Linked DNA regions of Callithrix jacchus. The protein of the gene in region 2 purifies or fractionates together with the protein of the main gene of each other region. This does not show direct contact. Links are inferred from orthologs where the notes say so. Each region holds a gene or a part of one and is shown on either strand. Other genes may lie near its edges.

Region 1 (5,235 bases), on a different chromosome or scaffold from region 2:
TCTGTGCTTTTGAGGGATCAAAAGAACCCTCGGATTTCTAGGGTTCTTAGAAGTTTAGGTGGCGCTGCAGGTTTCTGGTCAGGCTGGCAATGCTGTGAGCTGGGTTGGTGGGAAATCAAGACTAGATTGGAGCCTACCATTAGGTTAGAAATAGTGAAAGGCTGGACTGGGGGAACTAGGAGTGAGGAAAATGCAGTTGTACCCTTTATCATTAAAAACAAAGAGGAACCACAGAGAAAGTAGTAAATTTATCACCAGGCAGAGGCACCTGCGTCTGAATTCCCAGCTGCACCACTTCTTGTGTGACATTTGGGTCAAATTATTTAACCTGGTTGAGCCTTTTTCTTCATCTGTAAAGTAGGGGGAAATCAATAAGACCGCAGAAGGCCCTTGTAAAGGTTCAGTAAGGTATTAATAACACACAGAAAGCACTTAGCAGTCTCTGGCACAAAGAAGATGACATCCATTAATGATAACGATATTGATAAGAATCATATATTATTCTCTGAAAAAGATGTAAAAGGAAGAAGAGAAACTACTATTTACCACTAGAGGCCCCCCACCGTGTGGTGGTTAGAGACCCAAAACAAACTTCAAAGTAAAGAACTTCATTTTAAACTGGCATTCGACTATTACGTTTTTAAAAAGTAATTAACCCCTTATGTGTTCCCAAAGGTGCCTTCATAATGAAATTCCTGTTGCTATTATTACCAGTGTTACTGTCGCTGTTAGAGTACTCTCAAAAGAGCCTGTCTCCCTCCCGCAGTGGAACTTAAAATGCGGCGGAGGCAGGGAGTTACCAAAATCGCTGCTGTGTATGCCGAATTCAACAACCTGTACTGCTGACGATCCAATCTCATTTCCCAAGCCTCTACTATCCTCATTAACTTTTCTGCTGATATAACATCTGCTTTCCATTTTCCCTCTGCCTTTACACGTGCAGAACTTGTGGTAGAGAGAAGCCCCAGTTTGGCCGTCCTGCAAGTGATAGCCAAAGAGGTAGGGGGAACCTTAGGTTAGAAGTCATCTGAACCATGTCTGGGGTCGGGGAACTCGTAAAGCTTGAGTGTGGCTACTGGTCTGCCCAGAGGAGCAGCCCCCAGCTGAGGAGGCCAGATGGCGGGAAAAAGCGGGGGCCGCCGACTCCGCGGCTGTGATCCCGCCCTAGGCCAGGCCGGGGAGCCAAGAAAGACTTCCAACACTCCCAAGTTTCAACTCAAGTCGTCTCCGAGGGTGCGTGTGCCCCAGCCTCGCACGCCCGCCTGCAACAAGGTCGCATCTAGGACGCCCTCATACCCTCAGGGTTTCCCAAACTCTTCCATTCTCTTCCCAGGCCCAGCCGTGTTCCAGGTCTCCCGTTCGCCGGGTTCTCCTCACCCCATGCCGGGAGAGTCTCCAGCTTCTCAGACTCCAGCAACCCCAGCCAAACCCCTTCGCTGCCTGGAGCCTTGGCTCCCGCGACACCGCCCGGCTGCGGGGCGGGGGCAGGGCCAACGGCGGAACCGCCCCCAGCCGCCTCCCGGGCCAGGCAAGCAGGCGGGTGGCTGGGACGCCTCCACCTCCTCTTCCTAAAGCGGCGAGGCGCAGAGGAGCGGCATCACTCGAGCCCAGGTCCCAGCCACCACCACTCACAGCGCTCGGCGTTCAGGAAGAGGAGCAGCAGCGGAGGCGGCTGCTTCAGTGGCGGGCGGGCGCCAGAAAGGTAGACTGAGTCCCAGGGAGCCCCGCCGCGAACAACCCACCTCCCAGCCCGGGCTACGCGCCTCCAGCCCAGTAACCCCACTTCTGTGTGTCCTTCCAGGCCCCTAACGACAAGCCTGGGAGGGCCGCCGAACTACCCCTGGAGGAGGAGCCAGTCCGAACTCAAGGCGCTACCGCCGCAGAAGCGGAGCGAGGCTACAGTCGCCTCCATGGCCCACTCACCAGTGGCTGTCCAAGTGCCTGGGATGCAGGTGAGGAAGCGCAGGCCGCCCCCCGCCGCCCACGTGACTGCTTGGGAGCCCGGAGCGCTCTCGGTGCTGGGCACCGACGACAAGGGACGGCCCCGGGACTCCCCTGAGGGCTGGGCCGGTCACTCTGGCCAGGTGACCTGGGAGTAGGGCTTGAGGTGTTTCCTGGTGTGTAGGCTAGGTGGTGCTCTTCGCTGGGAAGGCGAGGCGGGACTGGAGCGCGCAACTAGGTGGGGATTGAGGGCGGCTGTGGGGTATAAAAATAGGCCAGAGCCACAGACACCTGCGCCTGTGGAGCTTGGCACGGTTGGGGATGGGAGGGGGGGAGAACTTAACCTGCGAGACATGAAAGTGCCTTGGAAGTTGTGGGGTAAAACGCGAGTAGTGAGTGCCCTACAACCCCCACCCCAAACACGCACTCAAGCTGGGGCGGGGCAAGACCAGGGGTGTCGGCGGCAGCTTGAATTGGGCTCTTCCTGTGTGCGTAGGGCTGAGAGAGAGAGGTGACCTCTTTCTCCCTTTCGGTACTGCTGCTTAAGGGCAAAGTTGTATCTGGCTCCCCGACCTGGCCCAGCCCATAGCGTGGAGCGAGAAATGTTGGTCCTGTTCAGAGTCGCTGAAGTGATGAGTTCCCAGCCCCCCTCCGTGCCTTTCCCACGAGATGACTTACATGTGGTTAAAGTAAGCATATTGTCCTGGACAAGGGACTACTGCATGGGACCCAACTTCTTACTCAAAGTCTACCCAGCCCAACCCCCTCCCATTATATTTTCATTTTATTAAAGGTAAGCCATGTTGGAAAACTTCTCATGCTGTTATGTTTTTAAATCGGTGCACTTTAGGCTATCTGCTAAATGTTATCCAAATCTACCAACTTTTTAAAGTATTCACTTTTTTTCCCTTTGCTAGATAGCCCAAACAACCCATTTATGAATAGTTTAGAGGCTAAAAACAAGAAAGCCTCAGTCTCTCATGATCTAAAAATGTGAAAACAAACTTTTTTCAAGTTCAGAAATAAAATGTTTAGAGTAGCAAATAGCTTATATTTACTGTAGACTTGGGCCTCAATTTACTTATTAGCAGTGTTCTCATTTTATGCATGCCCACAAAAGTGATTTTAAAATTATTTCCCAGAAAGGGATCATTTGTGCACCTAGAACTCCTGGTGTGTCCTAAACATCAGACATTTCAGCTGCATTTAGGGCAAGTCTGGGTTGAGTCTCAGGAAGTTAGTGTATATTAAAGAGAGAGAAAGGGAAATAGGAAATAGTAGGGCTTAAGAAAAAAAAAAGATTAATCCATTCAAGCCTTGCAAAATGTCTCAGACTTTCTTCCTCTCAGGCGGCCTCCCCTCTCTTCCCCCCCCTTTTCCCCACACACCCTGTCCCACACCCCATTCATTCAGTTCTGCCTTTGATTGTATCAAGGGAATTCATAGTTTGCAATACTAAGTACAGTTTTGCCGTCGGATCTGGGAAAAAGTGACATTTTCCCACCGTGCTCTTCTTTCCGTTCTATGGAGAGTGGAACGATGCACACGTGAAGTTTGTCTCTGAGGGTCTCCATGCTTCTCGCTCCATTGTGTGCGTGAGCCTGCGTGTGTGCGTCAGCAGAGTGAGTGCCTCCCGTTCTCAAGTTTGTGATTCTGGGGAACTCTGTGTGCTAAGGAGAAAATAGTTTCCGATCTTTACTTTATTTGTCTTGACCTTATTGAATTTATATGGTTTAGGAACTGCTTACTGTTCAGTATTTCTAAGTGCTGTTCCCTGCTTTGTTTAAAGATCTGAGTTGCCTATCTCTTGAATATTTACATCTTAATTAATGTGGATTCGAATGTGAATCACATACTTTAAATTACAAACTCTGCCTTTCACTGCTGTCTGAATTCTGATTACTTTGTCCCATCTAATCTGAGTAGGGCAAACATCTCAATGTTAGCAGAGAAGAGAGGAATTATTATTATTTTTATTTTTTGGTCATTCTCTTCATCTTAATGAAATGGTAAATTCTTCTTATTTCCATTTTCTTTCTAAATGTACTTCTTAAGCACTTTGTGCAACACATAGTTTTTTCCATAGTTGAAATTGTACAATACCCTAATAATAAATGTGAGAGCACGCAGTGTGACTCTTGAACCTAGACTATTTCTGTTATTGTTATATAGCAAAATATTGCGGATGAGATGCAGAAATTCGTTGCAAGCTTGTAAAATGCTCCTAGAGTTTTATGAAAGCCTTAGGAGCAACTTTTAGATTTTTAGAAAACTTGAGTTAGCCATGTGTTCTTGAAATTACTGTATGGTGTTTCCACAAATCAGGGTGAGGTGACCGGCCAGCCTATAACTTTTTAACAGTTTATTTTAGAGAATTATGAAGATTGATGGGAAAAACGATTTTTCCAGAAATAAAAACAAAATTATCCACAATTTTTTTCTCCCTCTGAGGAGAGACGTGAAGCTACCTGTTCTATCACTTAAGACTTCCAGCATTCCTGACTTTCAAACAAAGAAATTTCTGTTGCCACTAGTTTAAAATAGAAAAGAAACTTGGAGTGAAGAAAGAAAACCCAGGATTTGGTCCAGTTCAAACTCTTCCTTATGAATTAGGTATTCAAACTCATATTGTTGATATTTCTTAATATTGTGGTAATGAACATTTTTGCCATATTACACCAAATGTTGAGGGTACTTATTTTGTGCTTGCTTCTTTAGTGTGTAACTAAAGGAATTTTCCATACCAGTAGCTGAACCCTTGAAAATATTGAAAGTACAACTTAAAAAAAAATAAGCCAATAAACCTTTTCTTTCAACTTAAATATGTACTCTTTCATGATTTGAAGAGTTTTGAACCTGTTTTCTTTGAAGTTTTCAGTTATAAATTATACTTAGTTTTAAGATATTTCCCCTTAGAACCTACAATAGTATTTTTGAGGACAAATTTTCATTTAGAATATTGTTAATAAATCTTTCATAAGATGTAGGTGGAAGAATAAAGTTAAATGTTGAATTAGAGTATTGAATGTTATGCTTTATGCTATGTCTCTTGTTAAAGAAGTTTTAAAGCTTCTGCTAAAGAACTTTAAAATTAGCCTTCACATATCTTTAAATATGAGCAAGGTGGTATAGTTTAAATATAGTTGTTATTTGAGATGAGAAGTAGAAATGGAGTTTAGGGATTAATGAACAGTATTGAAGACTTTTACCGAAGTGGTGGAAAACATTGCCCAGCATTGGTGAATATAGTAACTGGATTCTGGGAAGCATACTGAAGTGTATTACATGTTTTAC
Region 2 (4,471 bases):
AGCTTTCTTCATCACAACATGACGGTGACTGCTGAGCTTGAGACATCTTTGAGGTGCCTTTCTAGCTTCAGTAAAAAGATGTGAGCCATACAAATCCAAACTACTCAGTTTCTACTTAAAAAAAATACAAAACGGTGAAATATGCCAAATGTATTATACAGATGGTTTCAGCTACTATCAAAATAAATAACATAATCTGACTCCAAAGTCTGGGCTCCTGGACGAAATCTGATGGAATGTCAAACGTGGAGATTCCCTCCTAGGGACTAGCTGCTGGTAGGCAAGAGTAACTCAACGTCCTTACCATTTGCTACAACGGTACTGGAAGAGCAGCTGCTGGCAAGGTCTTCTGTGGTGGTCAGAGAGGATGCCTGGGAATGAGTTTTGGTCAAAGGAGTGGTAGCAGATGAAGAAGAAGTGAGGCCAGGTTTTTTGGGTGGGATGGGTGGAGGGTTTCCTCTCTCAGCTCTGGGGATGGTTGGGGACTTGATTCCTGGAGATAGGGGGCTCAGGGGACTGGATACTTTCCCTGGAGTAGGTGAATGGCTTGTGTCACCTCTTGGATTGGCAGTGTTGGCCAGATTTCGATAGTCCGTGCCAAAGGGAGAGCTGTTGGGAGACACTGGCTTGATTGGCCCTTGTTGGCTGGTGAATCTGGAGAGCACCTGAGTGACTGTGTTTCGGGCCAGCTGCTTGGCGGCAGAGTTGTCTATGAGGGTGGGGGATAAATCCCTGGACGGAGGGCTTTGTAGGCCACTGGCTTGTTGGTCCTGATCTGCTTGGGACTGAAATTTGTGCCGAGCTGCATGGAACCGCTGGTTGATGCCTACTTGGTAGGAGGACTGGTAGCCAGGGCTGCTAGCTGATGACCCCAATAAACGCTTAGTGAGTACCGGCGAAGAACAAGGAGAGGAGGTTAAAGAGGAGGAGGCAGTGCTGCTGGGAGACAGGGAGCTCCCACTGGAAGGGAGGGGGCTGGGCACTGGGGCTGGCATCTCAATCCCCACAGGACACCCACCATTCTCCACTGGTTTCTCTTGGGCCAATGCCACAGATTTTTCCCGTGGAGGCACTTGGTTTTCCACACTGTTGCCTGCAGTCAGCTCCCTGGTAGTTTGTATCTCTGGGTCAAAATGGCCATTGGTTTTTGCATATGAGAAGGCAGGAGAGGTGGGACCAGGCAGCCCAGTGTTTGTTATCTTGGCTACGCTGCTTCCATGGGTTCTTTCTGCTGGAAAACTCTCTGTTTGGCAAAACACAGACATTAGCACGAGAGGCTCAGTTGCTGTGCCTTTGGACACGGTTACTGGTTTCTTCAATTGCTCATTAGGGCTACTGTGCTGGTGGGTGGCCTCTAGGTCCTTCACCATCTTCTTCAAACTTTCCATTTCTTCTTTCAGCGTTTTGGTCCGGTTCTCTTCTCGGTTCAGTTTTGCTCTCAGTTGTTCCCTTTCAATGTCAAACTCTGACAACTGCTTCTCTACCTGGGCCTCAGTCTGCAAACCTCGCTTTCTCTCAGCTGCCAACTCTTCTTCCAGTTTACTCACTCGGCTCTTCTCCTTCTCCAGTTTCAGGCTCAGCTCTCCTGCCTTCTGCCCTTCCTCAGCTGCCTTGCTGGTGGCTTTCTTGCACTCAAGCACAAGCATGGATGAGAGCTGCTTGTGGCGGGAGCGCTCCTCTTCCAGCTGACTAGAGAGCTTCTTCTGTTCTTTTTCAAACTTTTTCACTTGGGACTTTTCAAATTCCAGCTAGAAAAAAATGCCACCACATATATTGATTAGAATAAGAAAAGAGAGATATCCTCAAAAAGTATGATCAAATGGAGTGTCTGTGTTAGCTGTTCTCTGGTATATAGGATTAACGTGCATGTCACAGTGCTTAAATCAAGTATTTCTGAGGTTTTGGAACACCTAGCACAAAAAAAGCAGACGCTATGATTTAATCTTTCTCTGATGATTTGTGAGGCACTTCTAGTTCCTATACTGTCTTGCAGTGATTAGTGGGGCTGTGATGTACCTTTGTGTTTCGTGTATGCGGAGAGGACACAGCATCAGAACCAATCAAAACGAGATAACGGAAAGCCGCATCAACCAGATTTTGTGACGAATGTTGCTGCTAAAAACAAACCTTTTAAGGTTTCGGCAGTAATTTTCTCAGGTCTTAAAAACAAACTCAAATAGTTGCGTTTGGATCATACTTTTTACACAAATACCGTCTGTTTTAATTGTCTTCCCAACCCCATTTGAGGCAGAGACTCTGGGTGAAAGGGAAAGGGTTGAAGAAACTCAGTGTTTTTCAAACTCTGAGATCCACTAATGGATGGGGAAACAAATTATGTGAGCCGTGACTAGAACTAAAAAAAAATAATAAACAGAAACCATCAATACGTAGACAGTAGGGGTTATATATGATTTCATGAGATTTTGTTTTAGGCATAACTGTGTGTGTTTATACTGGATTGTGACATAAAATGTCATTCCTTACGGGGGTTCTAAATCAAGAAAAGTTTGAGAGCTACAAACTTTTACCATTCCCCAATGTGTGTTCTACCAACAATAGTCCCACAGGGAGGGATCTCTATCAATAAAAGATTTTGTAAAACCACAGATTTGCTAAACACAGAACCCCTACTTTGTTCTTGAAGGCTCACAGTGTGCTTCTGCATACTAAAGAGCCTGACAGATTTAAAGTTAGAATCCTGTCTAACTTTGTTCATTCCAGTAGTTCCCAAACTTATTTGACCACGAAGCCCCCTTTCGAACAACAACAATTGCTTTCCTGCAGAGTAACTTTTTGGAAACACTGTTCTAGACAAATGCGACTGTGAATCCCTCTACCTGAATTACCTGTTGAGTCAGCCTCTCTCTTTCCTTCTCTAGCATGTAGGTGACATCATCTCCTTCGGCCGTATCCTGTGCATGCCTCTGCCTTTCTTCCTCAAGGTCTAGGATCACCTTTAAAGAATTTTTAAAAATTCATTTCCAAATATCAACGAGTTGCATTTATTATTACAGCCAATACTAAGCGCCAAACTAGGCCCTTAATGATAGTTCCAGAGATGAAACAAACAAAGAAACAAATGGAACCCAGCAAGCGCTACCAAGGGGCACACTGCCTTACAGTGACAGCCGTGAAAGCTGTTAGAAAACAGTAAGATATTTACTTTACTTGAAGTATGTAAAGAATTCTATGCAAACAGAAGAGAGCAACTAAGAGCGAGAGGGGTTGAGGCAGTTCCAAGAAACTGCAGGCAGTTTGGCGTTACTAGGGGGTCAGGTGTAGGTGATGGAGCAAGACAGGACCACAGCAACCTGAAAGCTGACAGTTTCCTCTCAATGCTGAAATCACTGGAGGCACCAAAGGAGGAGCCTGAAATTCAACATTTCAAAAAGGTGCATTCTAAGTGTGCCTTGTTTCACTAATAAAAAAGTTTTCATATACTTAGATAAGAGGTGAAAACTCTCTTGAGCTCATCCTGCATGTGAAAAGGTTCGATTATACAGATCTTAAATGGAGATTTTTCACAAGGTCTTTTATTTAACCTGCCTACCCCTATTCCACTTCTCCTGGTGCCAAAGGATTAAGCCCAATTTTAAGGAGAAGAATTTATTTTTGGAGACAGGGTCTTGCCCTGTTGTCCAGGCCGGAATGCAGTTGTGCAATCATGGCTCACTGTTGCCTTGGCCTCCCAGCTCAAGCGATTCTCCCACCTCTCAGCCTGCTGAGTAGTTGGGAATATAGGTGTGTGCCACCATGCCCAGCTAATTTTAGTATTTTTTGTACAGATGGGGTTTTGCCATCTTGCCCAGACTAGTCTCGAACTCTTGGGTTCAAGTGACCTCAGCCTCCCAAAATGCTGGGATTACAGGTGTGAGCCATCACACATGGCTGAGAACACAAATTTAAAGGGATATTTTTCACATAATCCCAGCTACAACTGCAAATATTCGGACTGGAATATGGCAATGGAATTCTTAGTAGTTTCTGCTCATGCTTCAGAGGTGCCTTGGCCCAGACTTCCAGGGTAGGGCACTGTTGTCCCAAAGGCCATTTCTTAGTCTTCTCACTAAAATTTTTATGAATGAAGACAGAAAATTTTCTGGGACATGAAACCTTCCTATAAAAATAAAAATGAGCTCATGCCAATGATCCCAGCACTTCTGGGAGGCAGAGGCAGGAATATTGCTTGAGCCCAGGAGTTTGAGACCAGCCATTACTTACTTTCTTTTCCTCCTTTTTCTCTTCCTTTTCCCTCCCGCCCTCCCTTCCTTTTCTGGGGAGACAGGGTCTTACTCTGTCACCCAAGCTGAAGTGCAGTGGCATCATCTCAGCTCACTGCAATCTTTGCCTCCTAGGCTCACGTGATCCTCCCACCTTAGCCTCCTGAGCCGCTGGGACTACAGACACACATCACTATGCCCTGCTTATTTTTTTGTAGAGATTGGGTTTTGCCATGTTGTTCAGGCTAGTC
Region 3 (5,342 bases), on a different chromosome or scaffold from region 2:
CTGTAACCAGTTGCAGAAATAAAAACACTCTTCCTCCCTAGTTCATCTGCATCTCGTTACTGGGCCAATAGCAGCCTGACCCTCGGTTTGGTCTGGGAACAGCTTCAGGGTGATCAAAATCAGAACCCAACACTTTCAGCCGCATCCCAACCAACTATTTAAGAAGGGCAGTTTGTCTCTGTTCGGATGTTCAAAGGAAAAAGTGTTTTCCTTATGTCTTCTTAATAGCAGTATTATGAAAACTGTGGGGTGGCTGTGAGCAGAGAGTAGAGACCATGATGTCAGCATCAGATCCAGAAAACGGGAGTATAAATCCTAACCTAATTTATACTGAATTTTTAAATTCTTTCAAGAGATATTTCTTATTTTTGACCTAGAAGCTGCCAATGTCGTAAATACACCAGATACTGTCCCTACAGAATTAAATCATGTAATCCCCATCTCTTCAAAGAAAAAGAAACCACAACACAAAGCTTAGATGAACTGCAGGAAAGATTTGACCCAGTCTGTCTCAACAGCCCTTGCCCCCAACCATGACTCTTTACCCTTCACCTTGAGGAAGTGTTTTATCTGCATCTAAACAGCAGGTACTGGTATTACTGAAACCTGGGGGGAAGCAGGTATAGCACATAAATTCTGGGTAGTGTGGAATAGAGTGAGCAATGCATTTCCACTCCCTACTCCACTACTGCTGCTACGATATTTAGCTGAGAAAATAAAACCGTGCGTTTCAAAGCAATCCTTGCTAAGTATGATGTCTTCCTTGGCACAGATCAAAGGACACAGAACACAAGTGAGTCAAAGGCTGCTCGTTCCATCTCCACTTGCTGTTCTCCAAGGACCCACTGGGACTTTAACCACGGACCGTTTATAACTCATTTCTTATCCTGGCTTGAAGACAAAGGTCATTCACAAGACTGCATTATTTTCTGGGCATGGTAATCAGCTCTCATGATTTAATATTTTCTTGGCACCACACTCCACCGACCCCAGCACTGACTGGTATGCCAGCCATTTTTAAGTATTGTAAATGGGACTTAAATAAGTAACATTTTGGAAGGTGTGCAAACCTAAATAAATATTGCTGAGTGGGGACCGTTCTAGCCAACTCTCTTGTCTGTTAAGGGAAAAACAATACATTCATCCTCCGTTCGCGTATATATACACACACACACACACACACACACACACACACACACAAACACACTCTCTCTCTCCCCCCTCCCCCTCTCTCCCTCCCCCTCCCTCTCTCCCCCTCTCTCTCTCTCCAGTTGGTTGGTTCCGACTTCCTCCCAGCCCTGCCTTTTACTGATGGGGGTAACCAGAACAGGGCCAGCCTCAAAAACTCAGGAGTCAACTCAAGTGATAACACAGTAACCCCAAATACTCATGCAGCCCTTTCTGTTTTTCAGGAAACTAGCATATAAATATGAATGGCTTCCCAGACCTATAAGGTAGTTCACGCACTTCAGATTAACAGACGCCTTAACATCACAGGGCTGCGCCTAATAAATGCTCAGTTTCCGGCTCCTAGGTTCCTTTCCCTATTAGTCCCTTGTTCCTGGAGTGAAAGCGATGGGAAGTAAAACAGACCACAGCCCCTAAAAGGCTAACGGTGGACTCTACTTTTTATGAGTTTGTCTTTTACCCTACTTTTTCTATCTACACGTCCAAGTACCAACACTCACCATGTATGTCTGCAAGAGGTCAGCTGAAATCCAGATCCCATCATTTCCAAACTCAACACCAGAACGCACGGCCTGACAGGAACAGGTAGATTTGTGGAGACAATGGGACAGAGTACAAAGTCTCAGACTCACCCCTCCTTGTAGCAGAAAACAGCAGCCGGCCAAGTGCGGGAGCCCCCGGGGCCTAGAGGTGCCTGCAAAGGCCGGGGCACAGGAGAGAGGCTGAGGCTGTGCTCCAGCTGGGAGGAGAAGACCAGTGATGCCATCCTCCAAAGTTCACAGCTTCGGTAAAATCCTATCTACCCAAGTGCCCTACGGAGTTGTTCCCACCCCCAGCAAAAAAAAAAAAAAAAAGATAACTAAACACTTGAAGGGCAAACCAAATGCAACAAATGCGCTCCCCAGCTGGACCCAACAGGAAGTCTGCATACATTTACTTAACTCTAGCTCTCTCAATGATTCAAGCACAACTCAACTTTGATTCTGTGCTCAGATCTGAGAAATCTCAATCCTCCAGAAGCACCAAGCAAAAATAAAAAAAGGCCTCCAAGCACAAACACAGCTGCCCCAAATTCCCGGCCCACCCAAACCGCACCTCTCACAGGGAGCCTCAGTCCTGATCTCAGGACATTCTGGTGCGTGATAAAGGCACAGGCTACGAAAGGTCCAACAGCTGGGCTCCACTGACAGCAGCTGAGAAGCAGCAGGTGAGGCAAGGGTGGGTGTAGACCCGAAGACGCCATCTTATCGCTGCATAGAGACAGAGAATGCAGGGGAGGCAGCAACAGGAGACCCCACAGTGTGGCCCGGAAGCCCTCTACTCCCAACTGGCCCCCAAGGATGGCGGAGAACTACGACAGGATGCAGGACACCCCCGAACTGTGAGACAGGAGCTACCAGCCTGCAGATGCAGTGTGGGTCATCAATGGCTTCAATTGAATGATTGCTACCAGAAGCTGCCGTCCACGACTCCGTACCCAGCAGACTCAGTCAAACACATGCGTAAGCCACATACTATACAAAAGAAACTTGATTTCACTTCTGGGTCTTTTTTGATCTTAGGCTTCATAAGAACACCACACAATGTAAATTGGCAAGTATGAGAATCCTGGCTGTAATTTGGAGTCACGTTAGTGGACACCAGGTTTAAAAATAGCTATGAAGAGGCTTCCAGTAAAAGCCATCAAATGAAAGGCGCATTATGTTAGGCTGCTCTGGCCCACACTGACGTTAATAAACGAAGGAGCGTGAGAAGAAAAGTCCATCTGCAATAAATGTAGGAACTACCGGAACCGGAACCCACAGGTAACATAGCCAGGCACTGACCTCTGCTCCAGGCTGAGGGGAGAACTGAGAACACATCAGGACCCTAGGCCTGCAAGGGGGCAGGCGGCTGGGAAACTGAGGTCCTTTTCTTGGCACGTGGGGCTGAGATGGCAGGTACCATTCCTGTGGGAACCCAATTGCAGATCCAGAGGCACCCAGCAGGCCTGGTCCACGAGGGCATCTCCACTTCCCTAACCAGGAAGGCTTCCTAGTAGAGAGGCCAGCTTTTCGCTGTGGGCCCCAGGCAACTGGGCCCTCACCCCTCACCTGGGGAGCATGCGAGGGTGCCACCGGGAGTGGCACAGGCCCCTGGAGTATCTCATCCCTCGGAGAAGAGCAGGCGCTGGCACAGCCCACAGGCAGAAGGCAGGGCAGGCTGGAGAGAAAGAAGAGGACAGAGCCACCTGCCCCAGGAGGCAGTGCTCCCGCCCCTCCGCGCTCACCCCACGCCCGGCCCATGGCAGGTCCCCTCCTAAGCCAAAGGAATCCACGCTGACGAGTGGAGGAAAGGCAGTGGTAAAAAAGAAAACAAAAGGAAAATATTTCCAAATTCCCAAGGGAGAGGGGAAACATTTCAGAAAAATACTGCTCTCAACTCAAAGAAATTACAGACAATCCAGATAATCCTTTTTTTAAAATCTCCAAAAAGCATTAACACAGCTAGAGATGAAGGTAATAAAAATCACTAATAAACCTCATATTAAAAGCAGCAAAAAGTAGAAAACAATGACATAAAGAAAACTGTATTACCTAAGAGTAGAAGCACTAAAAAGATGTAAAAGTGATCAGAAAATGAAAATAAGTAAAAGGCAAAACCCCCCTTCCGGTCAGTTTCTACTAGAGAAATAATAAGACAAGTGGAAAGATTCATAGGTCCATCAAAATTTTCCAAAAATTTTTTTAAAGCTGCAAACTCCCTAGGTAAACATCAATGTAAAATTACAGGAATTGGTCCCCTTTTGGTTGGGGGACAGGGTTACTTATTTACACATCCAAAGAAAAAGGTGGAATGATGTACACTGAAATGCTAACAGTACGTTTTTCTCTTATCTGTGTTTTCTGCACTGTCCCTGTTGCTAACAATGAGCCTGTCTCACAGATGCACACTGTGGGAAAAGCAGAGCTCCAACATCGCAATTTCTAATGTACACATGTGCAGATCAAAAAATGCCAGACTTGGCTTCAGGAAGATGATTTTAAGCTTATTCCCGGCTGCTCAAAGTCAGTGATTAGACAACTCAAATCCATTACCCTAAATCAATACGGATAATAATAAAGAAGCTAAAAAGCAGCAAATGTCTTTCTATATTAGATGAAACATCCTGCATTACATTACACCAAATACCGTAATTACCGCATGACTTGTAAACAATTCTTTCCATAAGGAAAACCAACAAAATGAAAATATAAAAAAAAGAGAAAGCATTCAAGAAAAAATGTTAACTCATTTTTTTTTTAAGCTAAAAAAAGAAACATGAAAGTTTAAAGAAATTGGGAGGTCACAGAAATTGCTTAAGATCTGAATACAATTCAACACCAGTCTTTTTCTTTCTTTTTTTTTTTTTTTGAGGTGGAGTTTCACTCTTGTTACCCAGGCTGGAGTGCAATGGCGCAATCTCGGCTCACCGCAACCTCCGCCTCCTGGGTTCAAGCAATTCTCCTGCCTCAGCCTCCTCAGTAGCTGGGACTACAGGCATGCGCCACCAGTCTTAAAGTCCTTGTCATTCTGGGTTTCACTGATGAAGGGTAAGAGAGCAGGAATAACTTCCGATAAATAAAACTGTTCTGTTTAAAAGACAGCGCACAGATGACCGCTGTGGCAAAGGCTGGGCAGGGTGCTGGGGTCCTCCTGATGCCTAGTGCCCCCACATTGTCCCCCAACCCCTGTTCACAAGGGACAACTGCAAAAGGGCCGCAGGCACAAAGCGTAGCCCCTTCTCCTGAAGGCAGTGTTATGCCACCAGATCTGGTAAGCATTCAGGCAGATCTCAAATGGCCTGGCCCGTCTGAGAAAGCCCTTAGTTTCAAAAGCCTTCTACCAACTCTTACAAAAACACACACTTGAGCAATTCACTTTAAAAGCCTTTTTTATAATTTTGCTTTAAAAAAAAAAAAATGGTGATGAAATCCCCAGACCTGTCAAAAGCTGAATCTATGCCAGAAGGAGACCAGATTTCACCACGAATATGGTGAACAGTGACTTCCTTCAGTGCCCTGGCCACAAGTGGCCTCACTCACCACCAGATGGGCTGCGTATCCTTCCACCTGGTCTCACAGTCAACCAGCCCAGAGATAAGTAGGCTAGTTCATCCTCCAGACATCACCCAC
Region 4 (5,278 bases), on a different chromosome or scaffold from region 2:
CAAGACAGGCACTCTTAGCTAAGAAGATCCCTAAGCTCAGAGACCTTGGGGCTAGGGGGAATCCTGGGAATCCGTAGGGCAGGGACTGAAATATTCAACCCCGTCGTGACTTTTATGAGCAACAGTTTCCTAACTGGAGTGGGTAAGGGTATTTGAATAGATGCTGGGCGGGCGCACACAGGCGCAGTGGCTCACACCTGTTAATTCCAGCACTTTGGGAGGTCCAGGTAGGTGGACCACCTGAGGTCGGGAGTTCGAGACCAACCATGGCCAACATGGTGAAACCCCATCTCTACTAAATATACAAAATTAGCCGGGCGTGGTGGCTCGTGCTTTTTGTAATCCCAACACTTTGGGAGTCCAAGGAGGAAGGATTGCTTGAAGCCACAAGGTCATAGCAAGATCCCTGTCACTGCAAAAAAGAAAATTTTACGATAAGTTTAGCTGGGCATGGTGGTACATCCCTGTAGTACTCAGGAGGCAGAGGCAAAAGGGTCTCAGCTACTCAGGAGGCTGAGGCAGGAGAATCGCTTGAACTTGGGATGCAGAGATTGCAGTGAGCTGAGATCGCGTCACTGCACTTCAGCCTGGGTGACAAGAACGAAACTCCATCTCAAAAAAAAAAAAAAAAGAAAAGAAAAGAAAGAAAGAAAAGGCCAGGTGTGGTGGCTCGCTTTAGAAGGCCAAGGCAGGCAGATCACCCTGAGGTCAGGAGTTTGAGGTCAGCCTAGCCCAAAGTGGTGAAAACCCCGTCTCTACTAAAAATACAAAATTTACCCAGCTACTCCGGAGGCTGAGGCAGCAGAATCACTTGAGCCAGGGAGGTAGAGGTTGCACTGTGCTGAGATCAGGCAACTGCACTGCAGCCTGGGCGACAGACTGAGACTCCATCTCAAAAAAAAAAAGAAAGAAAAAGATGCTGGGGGCATTCAGACCTGTCAGAGCGCTAGCTCAGTCCAGCCCTTCAAGCGTAGCAGAATGAAAGAGGAAAGAGCATCCCAGGCCTTCCCATCCCTCCAACTCCCTTAGTTACAGTGGTCCTAAGATTTCAGTGGGTGGGTTGGTGGGGGGGGGGCAATGTGTTTAGGGAGGTTAAAAACAGAGATTAGGCCTGGCTTGATGCCTCGCGCCTGTAATCTGGGTATTGGATACCAGCCGAGGGGTTTGGGTTTCATCCAAAGAGCAAGACAACTGAGCTCAACATAGACTCGGTTCTACAAAAATTTTCTGCAGGCTGAGGCCAGAGGGTCGTTTCAGACTGGGGAGGTCCAGGCGGCAATGAGCCGAGATCGCGCCACTGCACTCCAGCCTGGGCAACACAGCGAGACAATGTCTTTAAAAAAGCAAAAAAAAAAAAAAAAAGATAGAGAAAGAGAGAGAACAGGGCAAGTCACTCCCTTCTCTAGGCCTTGGCATAAAATAAATACAAAGTCTCATTCCGTTCTCCTCCCGCGCAAAGGCGCGGGGGGGGGGCCACTCCGCCAGCCAATGGAACCACGGCTTGATAACCCAAAACCTGCACACCCTACCGCTCCCCACATGACGTCATGTATTACCATCGACGCACGCGCAGAAGCCTCCGGGATTTACCGAAAGGCAGGCTTAGCCTCCTCCCCATCTCGCCCTTCATTGGCTACAAACAACTGCTCGTCTCGGTCGTTGTCAGCGGAGACGAGGGCGGGTACAATGTTGGTCGCTAGGACACCGCTAAGTTCCTCTTTCTCGCTCTCCTAGGCTCAAACTAGTCAAATCTCGTTCAATCGACCAATGGCAAATGGGAAATGGGCGGGACTTCACTAGTCTGGACCAAAGAAACGCGGGCTTAGCCCGGCGTAGCGCGGCCAATGACCATGGAGCAGCCCCTGTAAACTGGCTTGGGCGCCCCCACGCGCGCGTTTCCTCCTCCTCCTCCCAGCTCTGCCCCGGGTTTCAGCACAGCGCTGGCCGCAGTCTGACAGGAACGGGACGGAGCCAAGATGGCGGCGGCCGACGGCGACGACTCGTTGTACCCCATCGCGGTGCTCATAGACGAACTCCGCAACGAGGATGTTCAGGTCCGGAGGCTACGGGGGAGTTAGGGAAGTGGGGAGGGGGATCTTGGGACACCGGCAGCACTCGCGAAGACTCAGCGTTCGCTGGGAGTGGCGGAAGGAAGCGGCGGCCAATCAGTGTGCTTTTCTTACCTCCCCGGGTGCCCGGACTCATTGAGACGGCGCCCCCGATTGGGTGTCGACCCAGCGGAGGGCGGGGGCCAGCGCCAGCCTCGAGGGTCCCGGGCCTGCAGAGTGCGCGCGGTGGCCCTGGGTCCTGGGAGGCCGCGACCTGGGCTACGATCGGTGGGCTGGGTTGGGGAGAGGAGAGAGGAGGACTCCGTGATTGGCGGCGGCTTCCGAATGGTCCCTTGGGGATGTGGGGCGCGCGTGACTTGCTCCGAGTGGGGGAGGGCCGCCTGGTGGATCGGGACCTGGAGAGTTTTTTGTTTTTTTTTTCTTTTCTGGGTTTATACTCCTGGGCCAAGTGGGGACCGAGAGGCGAAAGCCTGCCATCGCAATTCCTGCTTTTCCTACGCTTCTCATTTTGGTGTAGGTGTCCTAAGAGGAGGGGGATGCAGAAACAGCGCCCCCCCCAAAAAGTGGGGACTAGCCAAATTTAGGGGCGAATTACATTGTAGAAAGCTGCCTCCCCACCCCCGGATCCTCCCATTGACCAGGATAGGGGGCGAAGGCTTTGCTAAGCCGATGAACATTTCTTCCTAATTTTTTTTTTTTTTCGATACCGAGCTCGCTGTGTCACCCAGGTGGGGGTGCAGAGGCGCGATCTCGGCTCAGTGCAGCCTCGCCTCCCGGGTTCAAGTCGTCCTCGCGCCTCAGCCCCCTAAGTAGCTGAGATTACCGCCGCGATCCACCACGCCCAACTAATTTTTGTATTCTTAGTAGAGATGGGATTTTGCTTTGCTAGCCAGGCTTGGTCTCAAACTCCTGACCTTAGGCGATCCACCCGCCTCGGCCTCCCAAAGTGCTAGGATTACAGGGGTGAGCCACCGCGCCCGGCCCGGGTGAACATTTCTGGTTATGGGATGAGGTGGCCCAAGGTGGTGTGGGATTGAAAACAGTTAGGACTTCAAGTTCACCTCCCACCCGCTGTGTGACCTTGTGCAAATTATTTCACCGCTCTGGGCCTCTGTCCCATAAAATGTGGGCTAATTGTAGCCCTCGTCTTGCTGGAGGGACTTGTTGAAGGGCTGAATGAATTATGACACAAAGTTGAGTGCTGTCAGGCCTGCCATAAGGGCCGGATAAATATTAGCTGCACTTATTGGGAGTGGTGATTAAAGAGGTCCCATCCTCCCTTTAGGCCTCAGTTTTCCCGTTTATAAAATTGAACAAGTGCACTGGGTAACCTACAAAACGTGGGTCCCATCCCTAGGTTCCTGGTATATCACTTTCTGGTGGCAGACAGACCGTGGTTGTACTCCTGGCCCTTCCACTTCTCACTGATTGACATGGACAAATTAGTTAATCTCTCTAGGCCTCTGTTTGCTCTTCTCTTGATTGGGGATAATTATGTAGTTCATAGGGCTGTTGTATTGAATTTTTTTTTTTTTTTTGAGATGGAGTCTCACTCTGTCGCCCAGGCTGGAATGCAGTGGCATGATCTTGGCTCACTGCAACCTCCGCCTCCCAGGTTCAAGCGATTCTCCTGCCTCAGCCTCCAGAGTAGCTGGGACTACAGGTGCATGTCACCACAGCTGGCTAATTTTTGTATTTTTAGTAGAGATGGGCTTTCACTATATTGGTGAGGCTGGTCTTAAACTCCTGACCTCATGATCCACCCGCCTCGGCCTCCCAAAGTGTTGGGATTACAGGCGTGAGCCACCGCGCCCGGCCGTATGAATTCTTTTGTTCAGTAAACACATGGCGTGTATCAGGTATGATGCTGGGGGTGTAGTGGAGACACCAGTTGCTCTACAGGATCTGCGTGTGAAACAGGCCAACAGAGCTGAATGAAAAGTGATGGGAAGGGAACAAACAGGATGTTGTGGTAGTGAATCCACATTGAATTGGGCGAGTGTTCTGTGCGGGGCACTGTTCTAGGCACTGGTATAGCAGGGAACGAGACAAAAAATCCCGCACTTGGGGAGTTTACCTTGTAGTGAGGAAAGACAGACAGTAAACGAAGAGTATACTGTATTACATGCGGATGAGTGTCAGGGAGAAAAGTAAGAGAGAGAGGAGATGCAGTTTTAAAGTGTAGTCTGGGGAGGCCTTGTTGAGATGATGTTTGAGAACACACCTGAAGGCAGAGGAAGCAGGATTACAAAGTTGGGTGGGGCAGATGCATTTTAAGTAGGCCATTCGGGCAACGCCCCTCTGAGGATGCAGAGTTTGAGAAGAGACTGAAAGAAGGTGGGGAGGAGCCTCCGAGGAAGAGGAAGCAGATGTGTAATGGCCCTTTTTTTTTTTTTTTTTTTTTTTTTCTGGCAGAGTCTCCCACTGTTGCCCAGGCTGGAGTGCAGTGATGCAGTCTTGGCACACTGCAGCCTCCACCTCCTGGGTTCAAGTGATTCTCCTGCCTCAGACTCCTGAGTAACTGGGCATGCGCCACCACCCCTGGCTAATTTTTTTTTCGTATTTTTAGAAGAGATGGGGTTTCTCCAGGTTGACCAGGCTGGTCTCAAACTACTGACCTCAGATGATCCGCCCATCTCGGCCTCCCACAGTGCTGGAATTATAGGCGTGAGCCACTGCACCTGGCCCGTTTCTTTTTTTTCTTTTTCAAGACAGGGTTTCACCATGTTGGTCAGGCTAGTCTCAAACTCCTGACCTCGTGATCTGCCCGCCTCAGCCTCCCAAAGTGTGGGGATTACAGGCATGAGCCACCGTGCCTGGCCTGTTTTTTGTTTTTTAACTCCAGGATTACTTCCTTCAACTGCCCGTCCTTCCTTCCTTTCATTCATCCATCCATTCACTAACCAGCAAACATTTGTAGGGGCTTGTCTTTGTGCCAGGATCAGAGCTAGGCAGCTTACCAGTTTATTCTAAAGGATATTACAAAGGATACAGATGAAGACACGTAGGGCGAGGTATGGGGTGAGATGTGTGGAGCTGCCATGCCCTCCCCTGGGCATTCCACCCTCCAGGAACCACCAGGTGTTCATCTGTCCAGAAGCTCCTATGGCTACTTTTGTGCTACAGCACAGACTTGCATAGTTGTAGCAGAGATGGTCTGGCGCTCAGAACTTAAAATATTTGCTCTGTAGCCCTTTGCAGAGAAAAAA
Region 5 (5,163 bases), on a different chromosome or scaffold from region 2:
AGGCACTACTGTTTAGAAACCATCGTCCTACAACCATACTAACAATGCTTTACCTAAGTCCAAGGTAAGGAAGAATCAGAGACAAAAGAGCTTTAAGACATGATCCTTTGGTTTAGTTCCAAGTTTCTAAGACAGAGCTTTACTCTAAATTCTTTTTACAGAGAACAGAATCATACTGCAAAGTTCCTTTTAATATCTTTTTCAAAGCCGGGGAAAATATAATTCCCTACTAAAATTTTACATCAATATGAGGTACTCCTTAAGCTCTTTATGTTCACTATTGAAACTATTCAATAATTAACACTTTAAAAATATGTGTAGATTGACAGTGCACCATAGACTGTACATAATAATATGTAAGTTGTCTTATTTCTAGGTTGTCTTTCTTAAAAATAAATTTAAGTTTACAGTAAAAATCCACTGATGCTTCACTACAACCCTCCCACAAATTTGTATTCAACACATACATTTTAAAATATGCACCTCACAAGCAATCTCAGTAGACTGAAGGCACCTAATGCAAATTCAATATCCTGATGCAAACTAGAAACTCTATTAACTAAGTAACTCAATAAAACATTATAAATATATAGCACAAAAAAAACACCAACACCATCATGAGCATTTTATTACAAAAGAATCAGTATGTAATAAAGAGTCTAGAAACACTGCAGGATTTTTTCAAAACAAGGAAACAATAACTTAGGATGGCTATATCAGAACTACTATACCAAGAGTAGAACTGAGAGCAAGCAAGCAAGAGGACTCGTCCTTAAAACACTCTTCTGTTGCTGTAAAGGAGAGGAGACCTAGAAGGGAAAGAAAATGCTCAAGGCAATAAAGGCTTCATTAATGAACAGGTTTTACTAATTTGGACACAAGCTATCTTTCTTCTCAGCTGCTTACATTAGTGAAGTTTATAGGTGAAAAATGAAATTGCTGACTTGAAGAGTGTTAAAATCCAAACTTGCATACAATAGTAAAAAGGTGGAAGAAACCAAAGTGGGGAATGGTGAAGTATTATTTAGTGAGCCTAAGCCTTAATGCATTTGTTAATGCAAATTTTAAAAATAAATGCGTTACTAACTTTACTCACACAGAAAATTAAGTTTGCAGCATGATGTAGTAGAAAGCTGTATACCAACAAAATTCTATAAATCTTAAGTATTTAAAGCAGACTACACAACTTAAAAGAAACCACAGCTTTGACTTCAGCTTTTTGAAAGTTATGTATTTTTAAAGCACAATATTATATCAAAACACAATTGTAAAACACTGAAATGACTAACAAATGTTACAATTTTTTAAGACTTCATACAGTGTCAAAATATCTAAATATTTTTTACTTTCCAAAAGTTTAACTTCACCCATTTTGTGGAGTCATATAAAAGTTTACTAGTTCAGCACCAAACTAAAGAGATTCATATTTGTTTGAGGACACCCTTTCTAGTTAATCCAGTCCTCTTCCTTTCAACACTACATTTGCCTAACTATTCACCATAGGCATATGACATATATGACAGCAAATACCGCTTACCTCCTGAATATACAACAGTCTGAAGAACAGATGCAACACTATTTAGACGTATGCTTTCTTCTTCTAAGCCTAAATTTGCCCTGCAAAGGTATTTAAAAATAAACACAAATACCCAAGAAAGTTAATCCTTTCAAAAAGATGCGGCAATTTTGAGATCCGGGACATGAGCCGTTAACTACCAACATCTTCCAAACGTGTAGCCTATCAAAGGTTCACATTATAAGGAACGAGTCAAGCTCAACTATGAAGGGTCGGGAGGACATCTCACTTTGCTTCTCCTGCACGAGTAAGTAATATGATACAACTACGTTTCACTTCAAACTTCTATTAAATCTTTTCAGTCGTTTCATAAATACAGCATAGTCAGTCTGGTGTGGTTTTTTTTTTATGGATAAAGAAAGGGATGGGGAAAGGAGGTCTAGTGAAGAGTACTCTAAAAAGAAAAATTCAGTGCTAAAACCGTTGATGAGTCACTAAGAAAGGAATAACTACAGAGAATCCAAGTGAGTAAGGCAGCATCTCAGGTAAGAAGTACTTAAAGTTGACGATGGGAAATAAAACTTCACAGGGCAGTCGCAACTCACTGTGCACCGTAGCCGCCCAGGACAGAAGAGTAGCTGTCAAGGGGCAAGTGCGTACCAAGTCTGAGGGAGGGGGCCAGATATGCCAAATCGGAAAAGGGGGTGGTCCGGAAAAAGGGGGTAAGATGCCTATTCCAGTCCCTCTCGTTGGGTTCCTCACCTCAAGAGGAACAAACAAGAGCAAACTCAGTGTCGAGCGGCCCCAACCCAGACTCAAGCCCTGGAGGCCCGGGAAGGCCGCCTGCGGAGGAGCCCCCGCAGACGCCATACTAAAAGCCAAAATGGCTGCCCCGAGGAGGGCCGCACCGCGTAGCTAGTGAACGTTGGGGAGCAAGCTTCTGCGGGAAAAGAGGGAGGAGAACTCCAAGAAAGTCGTTGAGAAGACTATCACACCCCGAGCAGCACAGGTAGGTTTCGCTCGGCCTCCCGAGGTGCCGGCTCCGGCTGAGAGGAGTACCGGCCCCACCCCCCCACCCCCGCCCCGGCTAGGAACCCCGCCGCCGCAGCCGTCCCGCACACCGACCCCAACGAGGTACCTGCAGTTCGGCCCGTTCCACCTCCCAGTGCGCCCGCTCCATCTCGAACCGAGCCCACTCGTGCTGAATGTAGTGCAGTATCCCCGGGATAGTGTACTGCTGCGGCCGGGACAGCTCGGGGCCTGCCGCGGGACCCGTTCCTTCGGAGGCCGGAGGACCCCCGCCGCCCGCCGCTCCGTTCCCCCCTGGCGAAAGGCCCAGGTTCCCCCCAGGTCCCTGCTGCTGCCGGGGAGGGGCCGCCATCCCGGGGCCGCCACCACCGCCTCCGGCAAGCTCGTCCATTGTGTGTGGGGCCCCGGCCGGGGCGCAGGGCGAGACGCCGACAGCTGGGGGAAGGGCTGGAAAGCGTGGCCCCGCGCTAGCGGCGGGGCGGAGGCCGGCCAGGAGAGGGGCGGGGAAGGGGTCGTTGCTGTGTGCCTGCTGTGGGTTAGAGCAGGGAGCTGCCGGCCGCCGCCATTACAGTCCCTCCTCCATCTGCCCGTCTCACTCACTTTAGGGGAAGGGGGGGCCGCGGAGGTAGGGGTGGGGGTAGGGTTGGGAAGGGGATAGGCAGAGGGCCGTCACTAGCGCACAGCATGCCGGGTAGCGAACGCCGCCGCACGCTTAATCGCCAAATAGAGTCCGGCTCACCCTACGCCGGCGCATTGAGAACGCAACCGGAGTCGCCGCTAGGGGGCGGGGAAGGAGCTCGGGCTCCGCCCCTAAGCCCGCCCACAGACCCTGTTCGGTGTCTGGCGACGGCTACCGGACGCGAGGCTGGGATTCTGACTTGGAAGCGAAGCGGTCCTAGGCTTCCTGGTTATCAGTTTCCTTCAAGCAGGCGATCTCCAGGCGCCGTTTCTTTCCCGAGGGTCTCACCCGAGTGCTGGCCTTCGGAGCTGGGTATTAACCTGGCTGGTCGCTCTGGTGGACTGCAGCCTGTCTCGGATTCCTGACGTTTCTCCTTTTTCATTCTTTGAGTGTTCAGGCAGTCCCAAAGGTGGGCCCTCTTTCTTCTCCTGTCACTCCCTCTGTCTGGTTTCTTAGCACCAGTCAGTTCTCTTCTGGCAAATAGCCGAGATCTTCCGGCTGTGGTGACCGATTCCTCGTCTCGGTCTCGAGCCTGGGCTTTGGTCCCATTTTTGTGCGCTCGGTCTCTGGCCATAACTTATTCCACTTTGCGTCCCCTCTTCTTTCTTTTCCTGGAATGGGTGTGTTTCGGGGGGTTGGGAGAGGAGGAGCGATTTTTAAATTCCTTTACATCTTGACGATGGTGGGTAGAAGGAGAAAACAAGTTTGAAGGAGACTGGCTAGACTAACAATTTGTTATCTTAGAAGTGAATGGGCTCATAAATATTGTCATGAATAGACTATTTTGATCGAAACAAAATAAAAGCATTGTGTATACAACTTAAAATCCTAGGTGGATGTTATCCTGGGTCGTTAAATGTTTAAGTGAATATGGCCGGGCACACCTGTAATCCCAGCGCTTTGGGAGGCTGAGGTGGGCCATCACTGTAGGCCAGGGTTTCGAGACCAGCTTGGCCAACATTGTGAAACCCCATCTCTACTAAAAATACAAAAATTAGCCAGGCATGGTGGTGCACGCTTGTAGTCCCAGCTCCTAGGGAGACTGAAGCATGAGAGTTGCTGGAGCTCAGGAGACGGAGGTTGCAGTGAGCCAAGATCACACCACTGCACTCCAGCCTGGGAGACAAAGTGAGACTCCGTGTCAAAGAAAAAGTTTTAATATACACATGAAAGACAAGACTAATATTTTAAATACCATAGTGGGTATTTTTATGTGCTTAGTTTCTTAGAAAATATCCTAATGTACTAGTATGTTTCTAAAAATTGATATAGGTGAGAAGCACTTGGTTGAAAAATAAGACAAAAATAACAACATAAGGAAATTAGGTTCAGTAATTATATTAATAGCTATGCAGGGAAATGGCATTTAAAATCTGTTGCATTTAAAAAAAAATTTTCTTTACTCAAAAGCCAGTAGAAGTTGTGCTATGGAGTATACACTACCAACCAATTTCAAAGAGATAAAGTAATGCATCTTATTTTATCATGTCTGCTATACTGTTATTACAGTTTAATGGAAAGCAGATTAGACTTGTTATTCGTGCTGCCATGTTTTACTTATATATGAAACGAGGTCTTAGATCACAGTACTCTAATGTTAAGGACTGTTTCTCCAAATTATTATTTATTTTTTGAAACAGGGTCTCACTCTGTTGCCTGGGCTGGACTGCAGCAGTGTAATCTCTGCTCACTGCAACCTCCCCAGCTCAGGTGGTCCTCCCACTTTAGCCTCCTGAGTAGCTTGGACTACAGGCACACATCACCACACCCAGCTAATTTTTGTATTTTTTTGTAGAGACAGGGTTTTGTCATGATGCCCAGGCTAGTCTCCAACTCCTGGGCTCAAGTAATCAACCTGCCTTGGCTTCCCAAAGTGCTAAGATTACAATTTCTCCAAATTATCAAATTACTATTTATCTTATAGTTACCAACATACAGC
Region 6 (4,629 bases), on a different chromosome or scaffold from region 2:
ATGCAAATGATTATAGCAACATTGTTCATATTAGCCAGAAACCCTGGTATCTTACCTGTGAAGAGAGAAACAAAAGAAATGATATAGCCATACATGGAAGGACTGTGCAACTATGAAGAGGAACAAACCACTAATCTATGCTACAACATAGCCTCAAAAATATTTTAAGTGGTATTTATCCAAAAGATACAAAAGACTACATTTTGTATTCCATTTATATGACATTTCTAGAAAAGACAGACTAAGACAGAAAGTAAATCAGTGGTTGCCAGGAGCTAGAGTGGGAGTGGAGAGTGACTGCAGACAGGCAGGAGGGATCTTTTCAGGATAATGGAAAGGTTTTAAAACTGGATTGTGGTGATTGTTGCGTAACCATAAATTTTGGAAAAATTATTGAACTGTAAAGTAATTTATGTGTGGGGTTTTATATTCCATTGATTATGCTTGGTATAAAGTTGGTGATAGAGGGAGTTTGATTTTAGTTGAGATGAGGTGAGCAAACACCCCATGGGGATTTAAAAACTTTGTAGAGCTGTGGTTTTGGTTCAGTATGATAGAGGTTGTGTGCTGGTTCTTCAACAAAATTGTAATTCTAGATTTTTTTCTATAGAAAGTTTCCTGGATTGTCATTGGTTCTTGAAAGCTAGTTGATTATGTTTTCCATTTTGTTGTTTTAGGTTCGTTACCGTGAACGCATCACCATTCTTCGAGGGAATCATGAGAGCAGACAGATCACACAAGTTTATGGTTTCTATGATGAATGTTTAAGAAAATACGGAAATGCAAATGTTTGGAAATATTTTACAGATCTTTTTGACTATCTTCCTCTCACTGCCTTGGTGGATGGGCAGGTATGTGGATCTTAAAACTCCTTGCTGGTTATTTCAGACTCTGCTTTCTTTAATGTTGAGGTGCTCATGACCCTTTCCACTCTTTCTTTCTCTCCTTCCTTCCTTCCTTCCTTCCTTCCTTCCTTCCTTCCTTCCTTCCTTCCTTCCCTTCCTCCCTCCCTCCCTCCCTCCCTCCCTCCCTCCCTCCCTCCCTCCTCTCTCACCCAGGCTGAAGTGCAGTGGTACACACTCTGCTCACTGCAACCTCCACCTCCCTGGGTTGAAGCAATTCTCTGCCTCAGCCTCCTGAGTAGCTGGGATTCCAGGTCCCCGGCTAATTTCTTTGTATTTTTTTTAGTAGAGACAGCATTTCATCATCTTGGCCAGACTGGTCTTGAACTCCTGACCTTGTAATCCACCTGCCTTGGTCTCTCAAAGTGCTGAGATTACAGGTGTGAGCCACTGTACCCAGCTGACTCCACTCTTACACCACTTTGGGAATATAGTTTAGTAGAAATTGATAACATTCATTCAAACTTTAAAAAAATTTTAATCTGACAAATAATTGTGTCCGGTTTTTTAAGTGCATTATTATTTATATCAGGCACTGAACTATATGGTGGGATCACAGAGGTGGATGGTGTAACCCGTATATCCTCTCAGACTGTTTTTGGACAAGCCTGGGAGATGTAAGGAGCTAATTATTGGTTTAGGTAGATGTGTACACAAAAGAACTTACAAGAAAATTTTTTGAGTGTGAAGACGTTAGTGTCTGGCAGGGAGTAGGAGTAATATCCAAGAAGTTTTCTCAAAGGAGCTGTTAAAGGTGGAGTCTGGGTGTGACAGCAATGGTCTGTTAGGAAGAATGGGAGTGTACTCAGTAGTTCAGAGTGGGCTGGAGCAAAGATGTACCCTGCAGAGTCAACCCTCATTCAGGCAGAGCTCAGAAACACCAGTGGGGCCCAGTGATGGGGGCACCCAGCTCAGTTTTTTAAAATTTTATAGAGACACAGGGTCTTGCTGTGTTGCCCAGGCTGGTCTCAAACTCTGGGCCTCAAGCAGTCCTCCTCCCTCAGCTTCCGAAAGGGTTGCAGGCATGAGCCACTGTGCCCAGCCAAGAATGTTTACCAATTTTTTAGGTGAGGTTAACATTTTAAACCACTCGTTTCAGATATTCTGTCTACATGGTGGTCTCTCGCCATCTATAGATACACTGGATCATATCAGAGCACTTGATCGCCTACAAGAAGTTCCACATGAGGTATGACTTTTATTTGATAATACGTTTTCTGAAAAGATTTTAGGGAGTGGAGAAGTTTAATTGTAAGTTAGTTCATTATATGTATTCTCTCATTTAATTCTCAAAAACAACTTGAGGTGTGAGCATTCTTTCTGCCCTGTTCAGAAGAAGCTGACATTAAGAAATCTGCCAAGATCACAATAGCTATGGAGCTTGGTTTATTAGGACCTAGGTTGTCTGTTTCATAGCTCTGAAATTTGCATAATATAGGCAGATTAATAGGGCATGTTGCTGTTGGGTCCCATGGATGTCAGCTGTGTCTCATAAAGACTGCTAGAAAATACATCTTATTTGATGCAGATGTGTGACTTCAGTTGTACAATCTATTAGCATTTTCCACAAACATCACTCAAAAAGGGTGACTTAGGTGCTGCTTCTGTTAAATTACTCAAATACTGTGTTAACCATGTTTGTTAAAGGCAGTTTATAACTTGAAGTTACTTTTTAGGGTCCAATGTGTGACTTGCTGTGGTCAGATCCAGATGACCGTGGTGGTTGGGGTATATCTCCTCGGGGAGCTGGTTACACCTTTGGACAAGATATATCTGAGACATTTAATCATGCCAATGGCCTCACGTTGGTGTCTAGAGCTCACCAGCTAGTGATGGAGGTATGCTCTGTTCTTTGAAATACGACTTGCTTCTTAGTAAACTTAAGGAAAGATATTAGGGAATTTTAAATTAATGACTTGTGAGAAATTCCATTTATTCCTTCTGATGAGTTTGCCGTTACAGCCTGAGCCTTTTCAGTAGATGGCACACAAGAATTAAAAGCTCAAGCTTTTGATTACAATTAATTAACCATTAACATGTTTTCAGAGAATTCTGAATGGAAGTGCTTTGGGATTTAAGAGTGGGAAAGTAAGATGTAGGGAGTTGGAGTGTGTGTATAATATTTTATTATCCCACTGTTTATTCCATATATTTAACATGTATGTGTGTAGGAGAGACTGGAAAGAAATACACTAAAATGTTTTAAATGGTCCTTTGGTTAGTAGGATTACAGGTGATTGGAAAGAGACTAGTGTTCCTTTTTTTTTTTTTTGAGATGGAGTCTAGCTCTTTTGCCAGGCTATAGTTCAGTGGCGCCATCTCGGCTCACTGCAACCTCCACCTCCCAGGTTCAAGCAATTCTCCTGCCTCAGCCTCCCAAGTAGCTGGGATTACAGGCATGTACTGCCATGCCTAGCTAATCTGTGTATTTTTAGTAGAGACGGGGTTTCACCTTACTGGCCAGGATGGTCTCGATCTCCTGACCTTGTGATCCACCAACCTTGGCCTCCCAAAGTGCTGGGATTACAGGCGGGAGCCACCGTGCCTGACCAAGGCTAAGGTTCTTGACATGGCACACTGATGAGCATATTTTAAAAAATAAAGTCCTAATTAGTTTAATACTAGTATAACTCTGTGGGTATTGATAAAATCTGACTTTGCTAAAGATAAATTTGTGAACAGTACTAAACAAAAAGTAACAGAAGTAGCTCGTACATTCAGATGGATGGACTTTGAGGAAGCAAGGCTGGAAAGACTAGAGGCATGTCTCATTTGTTCCTGGGCAGTGAACCACACACTAATAGGCCTTTACCTATGACAAGAAAATTAGTGAGGTTATGGTCTCCAGGATTAGGTGTCTACCTCTCTAGGGAATGGCCACATAAATACTTATTCTTAAATCAGGTTTTAAGGCCACTGCAGTAGAAGAGGCTAATGAGACACTACCATTTTCAGCAAGTCAGATGCATAAGAAGCAGTTTATTCTTCGGTGGTTGGTGTTGTTTGTTAAAGGCTTTTTTTTTTTTCCTTTTTAGTACTAAAAAACTGAGTTTTATAATTAGGGGAAAAACAAATACATGTGTGTCTTACAGGTTGTATAAAAAGGGTTATTTACAGATTGTATAAGGGATATTTACAGGTTGTATGAAAAGGGATTATTATTACCGCAAATTCATAAGTCATCCAGAAAAAAAGCATTAATGTTTCTTAAGCCTCTTTGGCAGGGGTGGGAATGAGTAGAGATTTTCCCTTGAGTGAAGTAACATTTAGTTGTAAATAAGGGAGTAAAGTAAGATATTTATCTCATTTTCCTTGTAGGGATATAACTGGTGCCATGACCGGAATGTAGTAACGATTTTCAGTGCTCCAAACTATTGTTATCGTTGTGGTAACCAAGCTGCAATCATGGAACTTGATGATACTCTAAAATACTCTTTGTAAGTACTTCTACCTGCCTGAACAGTTGATTGAATTGGTAAATATGTAGGTTTTTATTTTGTTTATTTTTTGAGAGAGGGTGTCACTGTATTTACCCAGTCTTGTCTTGAACCCCTAGGCAGAAGTGATCCTTTCACTTTGGCCTCCCAGAGTGTTGGGATTACAAGTGTAAGCCACGGTGCCCAGCTTGAATACATAGTTCTAAATGGGATGTTTAAAGTTTAAGTGATTGTGCTATGCTAGATTCCAACTTTTATTTTTAAGGTTTGTTTTTCTTTTTAATGGACTT

Evidence for each region.
Region 1: the proteins of CTTNBP2NL (region 2) and STK26 purify together in Homo sapiens (affinity purification with mass spectrometry; 4 studies listed by BioGRID and IntAct, with this or other methods). This does not show direct contact. The link is inferred for Callithrix jacchus from reciprocal best matches to the Homo sapiens genes CTTNBP2NL and STK26.
Region 3: the proteins of CTTNBP2NL (region 2) and STK24 purify together in Homo sapiens (affinity purification with mass spectrometry; 3 studies listed by BioGRID and IntAct, with this or other methods). This does not show direct contact. The link is inferred for Callithrix jacchus from reciprocal best matches to the Homo sapiens genes CTTNBP2NL and STK24.
Region 4: the proteins of CTTNBP2NL (region 2) and PPP2R1A purify together in Homo sapiens (affinity purification with mass spectrometry; 6 studies listed by BioGRID and IntAct, with this or other methods). This does not show direct contact. The link is inferred for Callithrix jacchus from reciprocal best matches to the Homo sapiens genes CTTNBP2NL and PPP2R1A.
Region 5: the proteins of CTTNBP2NL (region 2) and STRN3 purify together in Homo sapiens (affinity purification with mass spectrometry; 4 studies listed by BioGRID and IntAct, with this or other methods). This does not show direct contact. The link is inferred for Callithrix jacchus from reciprocal best matches to the Homo sapiens genes CTTNBP2NL and STRN3.
Region 6: the proteins of CTTNBP2NL (region 2) and PPP2CA purify together in Homo sapiens (affinity purification with mass spectrometry; 4 studies listed by BioGRID and IntAct, with this or other methods). This does not show direct contact. The link is inferred for Callithrix jacchus from reciprocal best matches to the Homo sapiens genes CTTNBP2NL and PPP2CA.

What each region holds. Positions count from the first base shown.
Region 1 is NC_133524.1:127,582,353-127,587,587, forward strand, and holds the start of STK26 (serine/threonine-protein kinase 26), read left to right. Parts: upstream 1-1,596; 5' UTR 1,597-1,702; intron 1,703-1,801; 5' UTR 1,802-1,910; coding exon 1,911-1,952; intron 1,953-5,235. UniProt on the Homo sapiens protein: Serine/threonine-protein kinase that acts as a mediator of cell growth. Modulates apoptosis. In association with STK24 negatively regulates Golgi reorientation in polarized cell migration upon RHO activation.
Region 2 is NC_133508.1:150,416,854-150,421,324, reverse strand, and holds part of CTTNBP2NL (CTTNBP2 N-terminal-like protein), read right to left. Parts: intron 2,955-4,471; coding exon 2,847-2,954; intron 1,749-2,846; coding exon 267-1,748; 3' UTR 1-266. UniProt on the Homo sapiens protein: Regulates lamellipodial actin dynamics in a CTTN-dependent manner. Associates with core striatin-interacting phosphatase and kinase (STRIPAK) complex to form CTTNBP2NL-STRIPAK complexes.
Region 3 is NC_133502.1:14,261,194-14,266,535, forward strand, and holds the start of STK24 (serine/threonine-protein kinase 24), read right to left. Parts: upstream 3,489-5,342; 5' UTR 3,474-3,488; coding exon 3,015-3,473; intron 1,707-3,014; exon of another isoform or gene 1,692-1,706; coding exon of another isoform or gene 1,689-1,691; intron 1-1,688. UniProt on the Homo sapiens protein: Serine/threonine-protein kinase that acts on both serine and threonine residues and promotes apoptosis in response to stress stimuli and caspase activation.
Region 4 is NC_133523.1:45,574,723-45,580,000, forward strand, and holds the start of PPP2R1A (serine/threonine-protein phosphatase 2A 65 kDa regulatory subunit A alpha isoform), read left to right. Parts: upstream 1-1,902; 5' UTR 1,903-1,976; coding exon 1,977-2,054; intron 2,055-5,278. UniProt on the Homo sapiens protein: The PR65 subunit of protein phosphatase 2A serves as a scaffolding molecule to coordinate the assembly of the catalytic subunit and a variable regulatory B subunit.
Region 5 is NC_133509.1:65,427,665-65,432,827, forward strand, and holds the start of STRN3 (striatin-3), read right to left. Parts: upstream 3,131-5,163; 5' UTR 2,937-3,130; coding exon 2,655-2,936; intron 2,526-2,654; exon of another isoform or gene 2,279-2,525; intron 1,824-2,278; exon of another isoform or gene 1,768-1,823; intron 1,618-1,767; exon of another isoform or gene 1,538-1,617; intron 1-1,537. UniProt on the Homo sapiens protein: Calmodulin-binding scaffolding protein which is the center of the striatin-interacting phosphatase and kinase (STRIPAK) complexes.
Region 6 is NC_133503.1:74,130,756-74,135,384, forward strand, and holds part of PPP2CA (serine/threonine-protein phosphatase 2A catalytic subunit alpha isoform), read left to right. Parts: intron 1-677; coding exon 678-851; intron 852-2,001; coding exon 2,002-2,091; intron 2,092-2,578; coding exon 2,579-2,740; intron 2,741-4,220; coding exon 4,221-4,339; intron 4,340-4,629. UniProt on the Homo sapiens protein: Catalytic subunit of protein phosphatase 2A (PP2A), a serine/threonine phosphatase involved in the regulation of a wide variety of enzymes, signal transduction pathways, and cellular events.